3 linked regions of the Astyanax mexicanus genome follow. The protein of the gene in region 1 purifies or fractionates together with the protein of each later gene. This does not show direct contact. Links are inferred from orthologs where the notes say so. Each region holds a gene or a part of one and is shown in the gene's direction. Other genes may lie near its edges. The genes, in order: sf3a2, snrnp200 and dhx15.

Region 1 (3,834 bases):
TCAGTCATTCAGTTCAAACTGTGAAACTCATATATTATATAGATGTATAACACACAGAGAGATCTATTTTAAGCGCCAATGAAAACCAACAAATAAGTGTCTCAGAAAATTAGAATATTATGTAAGACCAATTGGTAATGGGCAGTGTGCCAAGTCCTGCTGGAAAATGAAATCTGCATCTCCATAAAAGTTGTCAGCAGAGGAAAGCATTAAGTGCTGTAAGATTTTCCGGAAAACAGTGCACTGACTTTAAACTTTATATAACACAGTGGACCAATACTAGCGGATGACATTGAGATTTCTTGGCAGTAAATCTTAAACCATTGGAAAACCTGTTAATTTTTCTTTTAAACGGAACCACATTTGTGGGAGGAGCAGCAGAGCTGAGTATGTAGCTGTTCTATGTGGTTTGTGCCCATGAAAAAATGTCCAATGTTTGATGGAACGAGTGACCTATTCTTTTAACCAAGAATGTAAGTTATACTATGAAGTGTGGGACAAGGCAGTAGAATATTAAAATCTGATTAACTTGTAGCTATGTACCATTCTTATACTTATACTTATACTGTTTTGATTGCTTTATTAATTTATAGAATCTTTTATTGCTTACAACACTGGTGCTTATTCTCTTTGGTGTGCTGCCAACAAATGTTTTGTTTGTTTGTTGAGATTGATTAATGTAATATTTTCCTGTAAATTGCAATTACTTTGAAACCAATAAAACATTAAATAACAACAAAAAATATTTACAGGAAAATAAAATTGCCAAATCTTCTCAGCCAGTGATAAAGAGCTTTTTTGCAGTGAGAAGATGAGAAGTGTCCAAACTTTACAACAAAAAATACTCTTATAGTATTTTTTTTAAATAATTGCACACAAATCCTACAATAGTCATTAATCTAACTGTATGCTGCACTGAGAACTACAGAACTACAAAACTACTATTTTGTACCGGAATAACTGGAAGAGGAAGCGTGCTCTGGTTCAGCGCATGCGCAAACGTGTAGTCTGCGGGGAGAAGCGTGAGCTGGACGTTAAGGTAGGTGAGATATATTCTTAAATAATATAGTTTATAGCGCATATACGGTTATTATTTATTATTTGTAATTATTAGTGTGTTATGTGGTTGTAGAATGATGTATTCGATTTTATATAAGTCTCTAATATAAGCGGGAACTGGCTGTTGAGTGTTGAATGGGGTTTAGCAGTTAGAGTTTGCCAGTTAGCCTAGCTAGTTATCCGGCTAAAGAAACAACAACTAGCATAGCTACCGCTAGCTAACCAAACTTAACTATCTTAATCAGTGTAAAATGGTCTGTATACAGTACCAGACCAAAGTTTGGTCATCTCTTCTTCTAACGATCAGGTTTAGATCAGGGGATTAATGTGGAGGACTAACATTTTTATCACTGTTTACTAGGGGTGGGCAATATTATATCGTATACAATATATCGTGATAGAAATATCGTGATGTTAAAAATCCATATCGTGATAATAGAGATGTTCTGTCTTAAAAGTAGTCTATTATTTACTGTGAAGCTTTAGGTGTATTTATTGTATAATTGTTTTAGTTTGCAGTTTATATGCATGCACTAAATATTCTGCAATATTTTTGCTGCATTATATTATTTTATGCTATATTATTTATTTTGCCAGATTATGATTATGCTGTTATACTCTTATTATTATTATTATTATTATTATTATTATTATTATTATTATTATTATACTATATTCCTGAAATTAATTAATTATTTTTCTGGTTTTCTATATCGCCAAGTATATCGTTATCGCAAAAATACCCTGAAATATCGTGATATTATATTAGAGCCATATCGCCCACCCCTACTGTTTACTACATAATTCCGTATGCATCCCTTAAAAGTTTTCATGTCTTTAATATTAGTCTACAGTGTACAAAATAAATAAAATAAAGAAAAGGAAGTAACATAGACATTTTGATTGGTACTGTAATAATCAATAAACTATAGTGAATATCTAGTGTCTAAGCAATTCACAGCTTAGAGACTAATGAGCTTTAATTTCAGGTTTTCATTGTTTTCTTATTCCTCTGGTTCAAATCGTTTTGATCTGTATAAAAGAGCACCAGCCAGTTGCCATAAACATGCATGTAATGTAAGTGTAAATATGTAAAATAACACAATATATATAAAAAAAAAAATATTGTGATGATGTGATGTAACTTGTAACATGTGTGTTTCTCTTGTCTTGTTTGATGAATCAGGTCAGCTCACATTTACTCGTTCAGAGAGTCTGAGATTCTCAGTCTCGGCTTCTGAGCCCCCTGGTGTGTGAAGATGGATTTCCAACACAGAGCTGGAGGGAAAACCGGCAGCGGTGGAGTTGCCTCCGCCTCGGAGAGCAACCGAGACCGCCGGGAACGCTTACGGCAGCTGGCTTTGGAAACGATAGACATCAATAAGGATCCGTATTTCATGAAAAACCATTTGGGGTCTTATGAGTGCAAACTGTGTCTCACGCTTCACAATAATGAGGTAAGATTCTAGGCCTTTTTATGCAGAGGAGTCCTCTAACCAATCAAATTTTGTTGTTTACCTTACAAGATTTTTAGAGTACTCAGGCTTGTTGAATTGTATTGTATTTTAGAATCTTTCGCTGGTTACATTTTGCAACCTACATAGGGTTGGGCGGTATGACGGTATTTCGGTATACCACGGTATTTAAATATGGTGACGGTATTGTAAAATAGTGACGGTATATTAACCACGTGATGTGCCAAACCTGGACTTTGAAAAACGGACGTTTAAGACATTCTGTGCATCCACAATGAAAGAGCAGTAGGAGGGGTCAGCAGTTGGAGCTCCCTGATTGGTTATGGGGTGGGGATTCTCACTGAGGAGATCATACAGCAAAAACTCAATAAACTCTACAGATTTCACTAATTTTCACATTTGTGCTGAAGTGACAATAAATCCCTAACAACTAACCAACCAACCACCAAAATGATTAGATTTATCAGTTTATCCTGCAGCATGGGGTGTTCAGTGTGATTTACTCAAAGTTACAGCTGTTTCCTTAAATATTCCTCATCTCCTATTTCTCTACAAAACAGTTTTTTTATGTCACTCACGCTCATATTCTAATACCGTACAGAATTCTGCAGCTTCCTCAGAGTTTCCTGTCCTTATTTCACAGCTAGCTCGAGGCTGTAAATATAAGCAATTCTGCGGACCGCGAGGCGCTGCGCGCTGCATCGCGCTGCCGACATCTGAACCCCGGCTCCCCTTCACGAGCAGAAACGGCACAACACCACCCGCTGTTACGCTGCTGTAGTGGATACAGCGCTTATAAATAAATTAACAAACACAAAAATGAGGGTATTCAATCTGTAATTTCAGTTCGTTTTATTTTTTTCTTTTAATTACCGTTTTTATTAGTTTCAGTTAAGGGGAGCTTTCACTTTCAGTTTTCGTTATTTCGTTCGTTTTCGTTAACAGTAATACTTTGTTATATGGTGATTATCAGGCCGTAGCTTTATATAAAATAAAAATAGTATTAAAAAACAGATGACTATTTCCTGGAGCCTGGACTGACCCGAGATTTTCCATTACTTTCCTCGGGCCCGGTCTCGTCCGGGCTGAGAAATAAAAATCAAAGTATCCTGCTATTTAAAAGAATGTAAAATTAATAACAATAATAATATAGTTCTGCATACTAAAGTTTAGATTGTCTGCCTGAACCCGAGCGGGAACGCGAGACTGAACGCGAGCTCATCCGCGCGTTTAAAGCTCCGCAGCATTTAATAAAAACAGATGAATAGATATAAAATAGGAAAATAACTAACTAAACTTA
Region 2 (3,600 bases), on another chromosome or scaffold:
GATTCGTAATTATTACCTCCAACTTCGTAAATAATATAATATAATATAATATGATATAATATAATACAATATAATACAATATAATATATACTACATAAATAATACTTATTTGAACCCTTTCTCCCTCAAAATTGTTGGTGTCTGATGTTTAAAGTGCTGAACTACAAGCCAAATCTATTTAAAGAAGTTACTCGTTAAATGTCTCATTCCATCGTTTTTTTAATTAATTTTAAAATGTCTAGTTGTAGGTGTCTAGTTGTAGGTGTTTCTATTTATCCCTGCTTTAGATCACTGAATTAGAGGTCTCTGAAGAAAGACAGGTTTTGGCTCTTGCTCATGAATATTCATACATGCAAATATATAACCTCTGATTGGCTAGCAGCACTGCAGAAGAGAACGCCTACCTGCTCCCACCCCCCCAGTCAATTTTACAGCTCTAACACTCAAAGGACAAAATGTTTTAAGGGGTTTTAATGAATTAAGCAATAAAACATGAGAGGGAGTGCTATAACGTGTAATATTGGCACTGCTTTACTGCGTTCGTAGGCCGAGGACAAGAAAATCTGATCTGTTGTGTTATAAAAACTTAAATTAAAACATTTCCATTGCTGCTCTGTTTGTAGCTGCGCTGTTTGGCTTGTAAGTGCTGCATCATTGCTTTGGTTATGGTGCATTACTGGCTAATAATGTCACTCATAGAAAGCCTCTCTTAGCCAATCACATCAAAGGGTCGGAACTAATTGTGGTATAATTGTCTTTAATTAACGATCAATCTTCAAGTATGAGTTAATAAAGTTCTTAATGTTTTAAAAACTTTTGTAAAATGTAAAAATTTGTTCATTTATACGCTCAAACTTTGTTGTGCTTGTTTTGTAGTATTACTTTTATAGCAATGTTAGGCCAAACATGAATCTGATATAAGAAAAGTAACACATCTAGTTACACAGGTGGTTTATTGTGTCAATAACCAATCAAATTGATTATCTCTGCTGTTCTGTATTAAACAAGGGATTAAAATATAACACTACATACATCTAATGCTTATAACTTTACCGAGTCACATAGGGTTGGTTGACTTTTAATAAAAAGTTGGTGTTTTTTATACACTATATTGGTCCATGTACAGGACCAGCGCATTCAATCCAATCTGTGCAGTTTTTAAAGGAACTTTGGAACTTTGGCGGCACCTGTCGGTTCTTTAGTGGAACTGCGCCTGAAAATAATCCGCATGCGCATTCCCTACTAACCTCCAATCCACCAGGGGGGGTAAAGTTACCATTCCGGAACCACCCGGAAACGGAACTGTTTGCGTGACATGCTGCGCGCGTCGTGCGTGCGTTGTGAGTCTTTTGTGCGGGAGAGCAGAAGCAGCAGAACCCGCAACTTTTCTTCTATACCGTACTGCTATCACCCGGCCCCGCAGCTTCCCGCAGCACCCCGCAGCTCCCCGCAGGCCTGTAGCTGTAGCTGTGTGAGCGGTTAGCCCGGGCTCTGAGGATTAGCCGGGGCTTACACTAGAGCTGCAGGATGGCGGATGTTACAGCGCGTAGTCTGCAGTATGAGTATAAAGCGGTGAGGACAGAAAAATACTACAGCTCCCTTACTCTACTACTCTCATACTGTTCCACTGTAACTGTTTCTCTGTTATTATCATACTCTGTTACACTCTTAATCTCACTGTTCCAGTCACTCGGTTACTCTCATATACTTACTGTTGCAGTTAACGTTACACTCTTACTGTTTCTCTCTTACTCTTATTCTCAAACTCTCTTACTGTTACACTCATACACTTACTGTCTCTGTTACTCTCATACACTTACTGTTACTGTTGCACTCTTACGGCTTCTCTGTTACTCTGTTATTATCATACTCTATTACTGTTACGTTGTTACACTCTAACTTTTACTCTCTTAATCTTACTGTTCCTCTGTTACTCTTATACACTTTCTGTTACAGTTACACCCTTACTGTTTCTCTATTGCCCTGTTGCTCTGTTACACCTTTACTCTATTACACTCATTGTTTCTCTCTCACTCTGTTACTACTGTTACTCTTATTGGTTCTCTCTGTTCTTCTGTTACACTCCTCTGTTTCTCTGTTTCTGTTACACTCTTCCTTTGTTGCTTTTACACAGTTGTTACTTTTACACAGTTAGTATTACTTTTACACTGTTACGGTTACTTTTACATTGTTACGGTTCTTATTTCTCTCTTTTAACGTTACACTGTGACTCTGTTACACTCCTACTCTATTGCTCTGTCACTGTTACACTCACGCTGTTACACTGTTACTGTTTCTCCTTCTTATTTTCTTACTCTGTTTGTTGTTACACTCTGACTCGTTTGTTACACTTGTTTGGCACACATTAATACTGTTACACTTACTCTTTATCTAATGCACTCAGTTACATTCGTACTGTATTACTATGTAACTTTCTTACTGTTACTGTTTTACACTCTTACTCTCACTGTTTCTCTCTTACTCTGCTACACTATGGTTCTGTCTTACACTGTTACTCTAACGCTTACTGTTTCTCTGTTACTCTTTCACTGCTACACTTACTGTTACTCTCTCAATCTGTTACTGTCTCACTCACTTTTACTGTTACTGTGTTACTCTCATACTGTTATTGAGTCTGTATCTCTGTCTCTCTGTTTGTGGTTCAGAACTCGAACTTGGTTTTGCAAGCTGATCGCTCTCTCATTGACCGCACTCGCCGAGATGAACCTACAGGCGAGGTGTTGTCTTTGGTTGGGAAACTGGAAGGGACCAAAATGGGAGACAAGAGTCAACGAACGAAGCCACAAATGTTGGAAGAAAGGAGGGCAAAGTACGTATTCTCCAAATTTGCATTAACATTACGTTTCTTTTGGTATTAGCCTTCTCATTTTTCCCCTCTTTGTGTTGTAGGAGAAGAAAGCGAGATGAAGACAGACATGACATTAACAAAATGAAAGGATTTACCCTGCTGTCAGAAGGAATTGATGAGATGGTGGGTATCGTATACAAGCCAAAGACCAAGGAGACCAGAGAAACGTATGAAATCCTCCTCAGCTTCATTCAGGCTGCTCTTGGAGACCAGGCAAGTTCAGTATTTGTTGTTTATAGTTAAAACTTTTTGAAAGTGTTTAACAGCATCAAAAATATAAGCACTCTGGGGAAAAAAAAATATTCCAACATTATATTATTAGATTAGTATGATTGTAGAATCAGGTCTGTAGTACTGTATTTGGGTTGTGGCTGTGTTCTTTTTAACGTGTTTGCTTAGCTAAGCTTTATTTTGTATTATTCAATACCGCGCTCAACTTAAAAGTGTCATTAACAGACACTGCTCATGTTAGTTTTACTTTGTACTGTGAATCATGTGTAGTTTCGTGCATATTAAATTTACCTGAGTTCTGATTTATTTCGTTATTCCATCCATGTTCTCTGCAGTGTGGCAATCATAGGGCCCTGTTAAGTGCACAGTCACCATTGTGTGTACAATACAAGTACCTAGTTATTAAGATTGTCACACTGCTTTTAGGTTTGTCGCTAGGGATCCTTGTAATGTTCAATTCAGGGCTTGTATGTTTCCTTAAAATCACAAGCTTGATTGAA
Region 3 (3,834 bases), on another chromosome or scaffold:
TGGGTCCTAGTGGAGTTAGTGTTGGGGAACGAGCAGCAGGAGGAGACAGAGGACAAAACTAACACAAAACTCAGGATGGAGTAAACACTAAAAATAGGAACGTACGGGCCAAAGCCCTGCTGACAAGAGCTGCCAGTGCTTTAACTCAACATGTTTCCTTAATATCTGATTATACATCCTGATCATTTTATCATTTACTACTGAAAATGAGTTACATATTGGTCCTTTAAACTGATGGACCACACTGATAAACTTGAGCAAACACTGAGATAAATTTAGATACATTTATTTAAAACTGAGGGAACATGCTGATAAACTGGAGGAAAAATGTTTACATTGAGATAAATGTATTATAACTGAGGGAATACTGATAAATAGAGGGAACATATTGATAAATAGAGGAAACAGACTAAAGAACCGAGTGAAAGAAATGTTACTTTGAGGCATTGATGTATTAAACTGAGTGAACAGGCCGATAAACTGGTCGGACGGTTAAAATATAATCTGTATATAATATTTTCCCGCGTTTCTACACTCCAGGCTCTGTCTGTGGGGAGCAGGGCTCGGCGCTGCTCGGCGGGTGTCGGTACTGCAGGCTGCTGGAAGCTGCTGCAGAGGGAAAACGGTAATTTGGCGCTACATAGATCATCCTCCCCGGAGCACCGCTGTACAGCATCCGCAGCGCGAGCGCCTTAACCGCGCTGAGAAGCGCCGCCGCCGCGGGGAACACATGCGGTGTTTTTACTATAAGAGCGGGGTCTGTTTTACTCTTCGCTCTAGAGGCTGAAACCCGTTCCCTCTCTGAGTCTCAGAAATAATAATAATGATGAGGTAAGTGCTTCCGGTCGCCATCTTGTCGCTTAGCGGTGTGTGTGTGTGTGTGTTGGTGGTTTGTTTGAGATATTAATCCGCGGACCGCTTTCCTTTTTTATTTTTTAGTTCTTAACTCGTTTTGTATCCCGTGTTTCTGAGATGTCTAAACGGCATCGCTTGGACCTGGGCGATGATTACTCGTCCAGTAAGAAGAGGTCTTCAGACGGGTGGGTTTAAACGGCGTGTGGATGAAAAACTGCTTCTGCTGCTGCTTCATGTTTGAGCGGCCGCCGCTCGGCCTCTTTGTGTCGGCAGGACAGGCGGGTTATAGACGCAGTGGCAAGACAGGGTGTTATTAGGACGTTAGAGTGTATTAGCCCCTTTATTTGAGCTCTTTCTGTCTGTGTAAACCCGGTGTTAGATGTGAGGTAAAGCTGCAAGGTAAACCAAGAGAGCAGCCGGCTGGTTTCGTGTCGCATCCGCAACGCTAGGATAACGTTAGCACGTGGGCAATGCTAATAGCTTAGTGAACCTATCTGTTCAGTTCATTTAAACCAGTTTAGAGAGTATTTTACATAACATTCATACGAGAAGTCTGATTTTCTCGTTTGTACATGTTTATAGTGAATGTACTAACTCATGCTTCGGTTTATATTCATGTTAAATAGCTATATAGACGCATAACCAGCTAGCCGGTGTTCTGTCGAGTTATGCTACCTTGTCAAACCGTGCTACCCTAGTGTAAGTTAACTTTAAAAATGCAAAAGAAGCACCATATTAGAAGATGGTCCCAGTGAAAGTCTATGTAGAATTTTTAAGAGTATAAATCACTGTATTATTGAAAGTTATGGCAGTGAGAGGTCATTACAAACTATTAATCAACTTTTTTTATGTATTTATCATTATTCATTTTCACGGTGACAGTGAATCCCGGTTGTATAATGCACAAAAAGTTTTTTTTTTTTTTAAATGCATATTTTATATATAAAAAAATGAATAACTGTAGATCAGCGCATGCGTAGTGCCTTTAGGAAGCAGGTATCGATGGGTAGCCTTACTCGACGGAACACCGGTCTTCTCACTAGCTAAGCTAAGCTAGCATGGACGTTGCTTACTCGTCCATTTTCCATGCGGCCTGTGTAGCTAAGCTAACTTAGCTAGCTGGATAATCCCCTGTCCCAGTTTTTTTGAATAGCGTTAACATCACAGCTAGCTGTGTGCAACCCTGCTGTGCGGTTTACTGATTAACCTGCACGCATGATTAGTTAGCCAGTTAGGCAGTTCGTTCGACCTGCGTGTCTCCAGGCACACATGCCTGCCCAACACAAAGCTGGAAGCGTTAGCACCAGAAGCTAAGCTAACGTTAGCATCACATAGCTTACCAATTCATGTTTGCCGCCCGCTCTGTCTAAAATTGAGCTAAAGCTAGGTTAGCTAACCTGACTAACTACGTTTCGCACGCAGTTGATTGAATTATCTCGTTATATTGTTTAACATGTTTTGTTTTAGCAGTAGTGAAGTGCTGCTGCTGCAAAGCTGAAGGGGTTAGACAACAAATGACAGGCTTAATTGATCTAAAACGAAGCGCTAAGGTTAGCTTTCTAGTTAGCCATGTGTGGAGTGTAGTGGGCGTGTTGCTTGATGTCAGGTAACTTTGTTGACTGTTTGTTTTACCTTTTAAGAAATAAGACATTTAAGTAGCTATATTTATTATTTTATACACAGTTTAAATACACAACAAGACAGACATTAGATGCACACATGCCCTTAGAAAAAGCAATGCTAAGCAGTATTACCAATAAATAAATGAATAAGGACGTTGAAGGGGTATATTTACTTAACCTTTTACGTAAATAACCCTTGTTCCGTATAAATGCTACAGGTGTAGATCATACAAAAAACCCTTTTTCTACAGCAAAATAACTTATTTACATTTCTGAAGGCTTTAAAATCTCCTACAGGACACTTGTAGAAGCTGCCTGTTTTCTCTACATGAGTAAACATAACAATTTCAGGGCTTTTTTTTGTTTCAAAGAAACAAAGGCCTCTTTTCCACTAGTCAATAAGTGAGGACACTTTAAAATGATGCACTAATGTGGGATATCTGGGCCAATGCCGATATAGTTACATATTTCTGACTTGCCGAGAGACTTTAAAAATAAATGTTAAAATCGACAGTACGCAAACAATAAAATGAAAGGTGTCACTTTTTAATATTTTGGTTTACATCTATTTAGCTTACTGGTCCTTAGACTGGTCACAGCTTAAAACCTTCTTTTAACATTAACAATTGACAGAATAAATAAAACAGTAGATTATATAAAATAAAAATATAATGTTGAAATAAATTATTTTAAAGTTGTTGCACAGTCAGTGCTTAGTCTTTTTCTGGTATTCAATATATAGCCTACATCAGCAAGTATCAGTTGGAAATATACAGACACCAAACCAATGCTGGTGACTTCTGGTGAAAATCCCTGTATTATTTTAAGGTTTATAATATATACTGTGAAAAATATGCAATGCCATTTTTATTCACACTTTTATACATTACTAGTAGAAAGTGTGATATAAACCAGTGTTGGTCAGTCCTGGCCCTCTGGCCCACTATTCTGAATATTTTAATGATTTTTCAACACCCACGTAAACCTAATAATGGGCTAGTTCATTAATCTGCTGATTGTTTGAATCAGGTTACTTGTTAGAGAGGCAAAAACTACACGGTGCAGTGCATTAGACATGTATGCGTTTTTTTTTTAATCATCTCTAATAAATAGCAAATACTTCAGTCAACAAGTGTTGCCGGTTTTTACTCATTTTTGATCATTGGTGTTCCAGGGCCATGGTTGCAAAATACTGACAAAGGTAGATGTGCCTGTCTGGGAGGCTTAATCTGCTGCATTGTTTTCTCTGCTCTCTCAGATTTGACCCAGTTTATATCAACATGCTTTTTAGCTAATGCGTTGAACCAGCCGATTACGTTACTTGGATTTCATGAGGGAAGAAAACAGTTGTTCACTG

Evidence for each region.
Region 2: the proteins of sf3a2 (region 1) and snrnp200 purify together in Homo sapiens (affinity purification with mass spectrometry; 4 studies listed by BioGRID and IntAct, with this or other methods). This does not show direct contact. The link is inferred for Astyanax mexicanus from reciprocal best matches to the Homo sapiens genes SF3A2 and SNRNP200.
Region 3: the proteins of sf3a2 (region 1) and dhx15 purify together in Homo sapiens (affinity purification with mass spectrometry; 4 studies listed by BioGRID and IntAct, with this or other methods). This does not show direct contact. The link is inferred for Astyanax mexicanus from reciprocal best matches to the Homo sapiens genes SF3A2 and DHX15.

The regions. Positions count from the first base shown.
Region 1 is NC_064411.1:49,889,628-49,893,461, reverse strand, and holds the start of sf3a2 (splicing factor 3A subunit 2), read left to right. Parts: upstream 1-939; 5' UTR 940-1,039; exon of another isoform or gene 1,040-1,043; intron 1,044-2,245; 5' UTR 2,246-2,318; coding exon 2,319-2,516; intron 2,517-3,834. UniProt on the Homo sapiens protein: Component of the 17S U2 SnRNP complex of the spliceosome, a large ribonucleoprotein complex that removes introns from transcribed pre-mRNAs.
Region 2 is NC_064419.1:15,951,448-15,955,047, forward strand, and holds the start of snrnp200 (U5 small nuclear ribonucleoprotein 200 kDa helicase), read left to right. Parts: upstream 1-1,303; 5' UTR 1,304-1,527; coding exon 1,528-1,572; intron 1,573-2,666; coding exon 2,667-2,830; intron 2,831-2,910; coding exon 2,911-3,082; intron 3,083-3,600. UniProt on the Homo sapiens protein: Catalyzes the ATP-dependent unwinding of U4/U6 RNA duplices, an essential step in the assembly of a catalytically active spliceosome. Plays a role in pre-mRNA splicing as a core component of precatalytic, catalytic and postcatalytic spliceosomal complexes.
Region 3 is NC_064415.1:27,957,574-27,961,407, reverse strand, and holds the start of dhx15 (pre-mRNA-splicing factor ATP-dependent RNA helicase DHX15), read left to right. Parts: upstream 1-851; 5' UTR 852-972; coding exon 973-1,040; intron 1,041-3,834.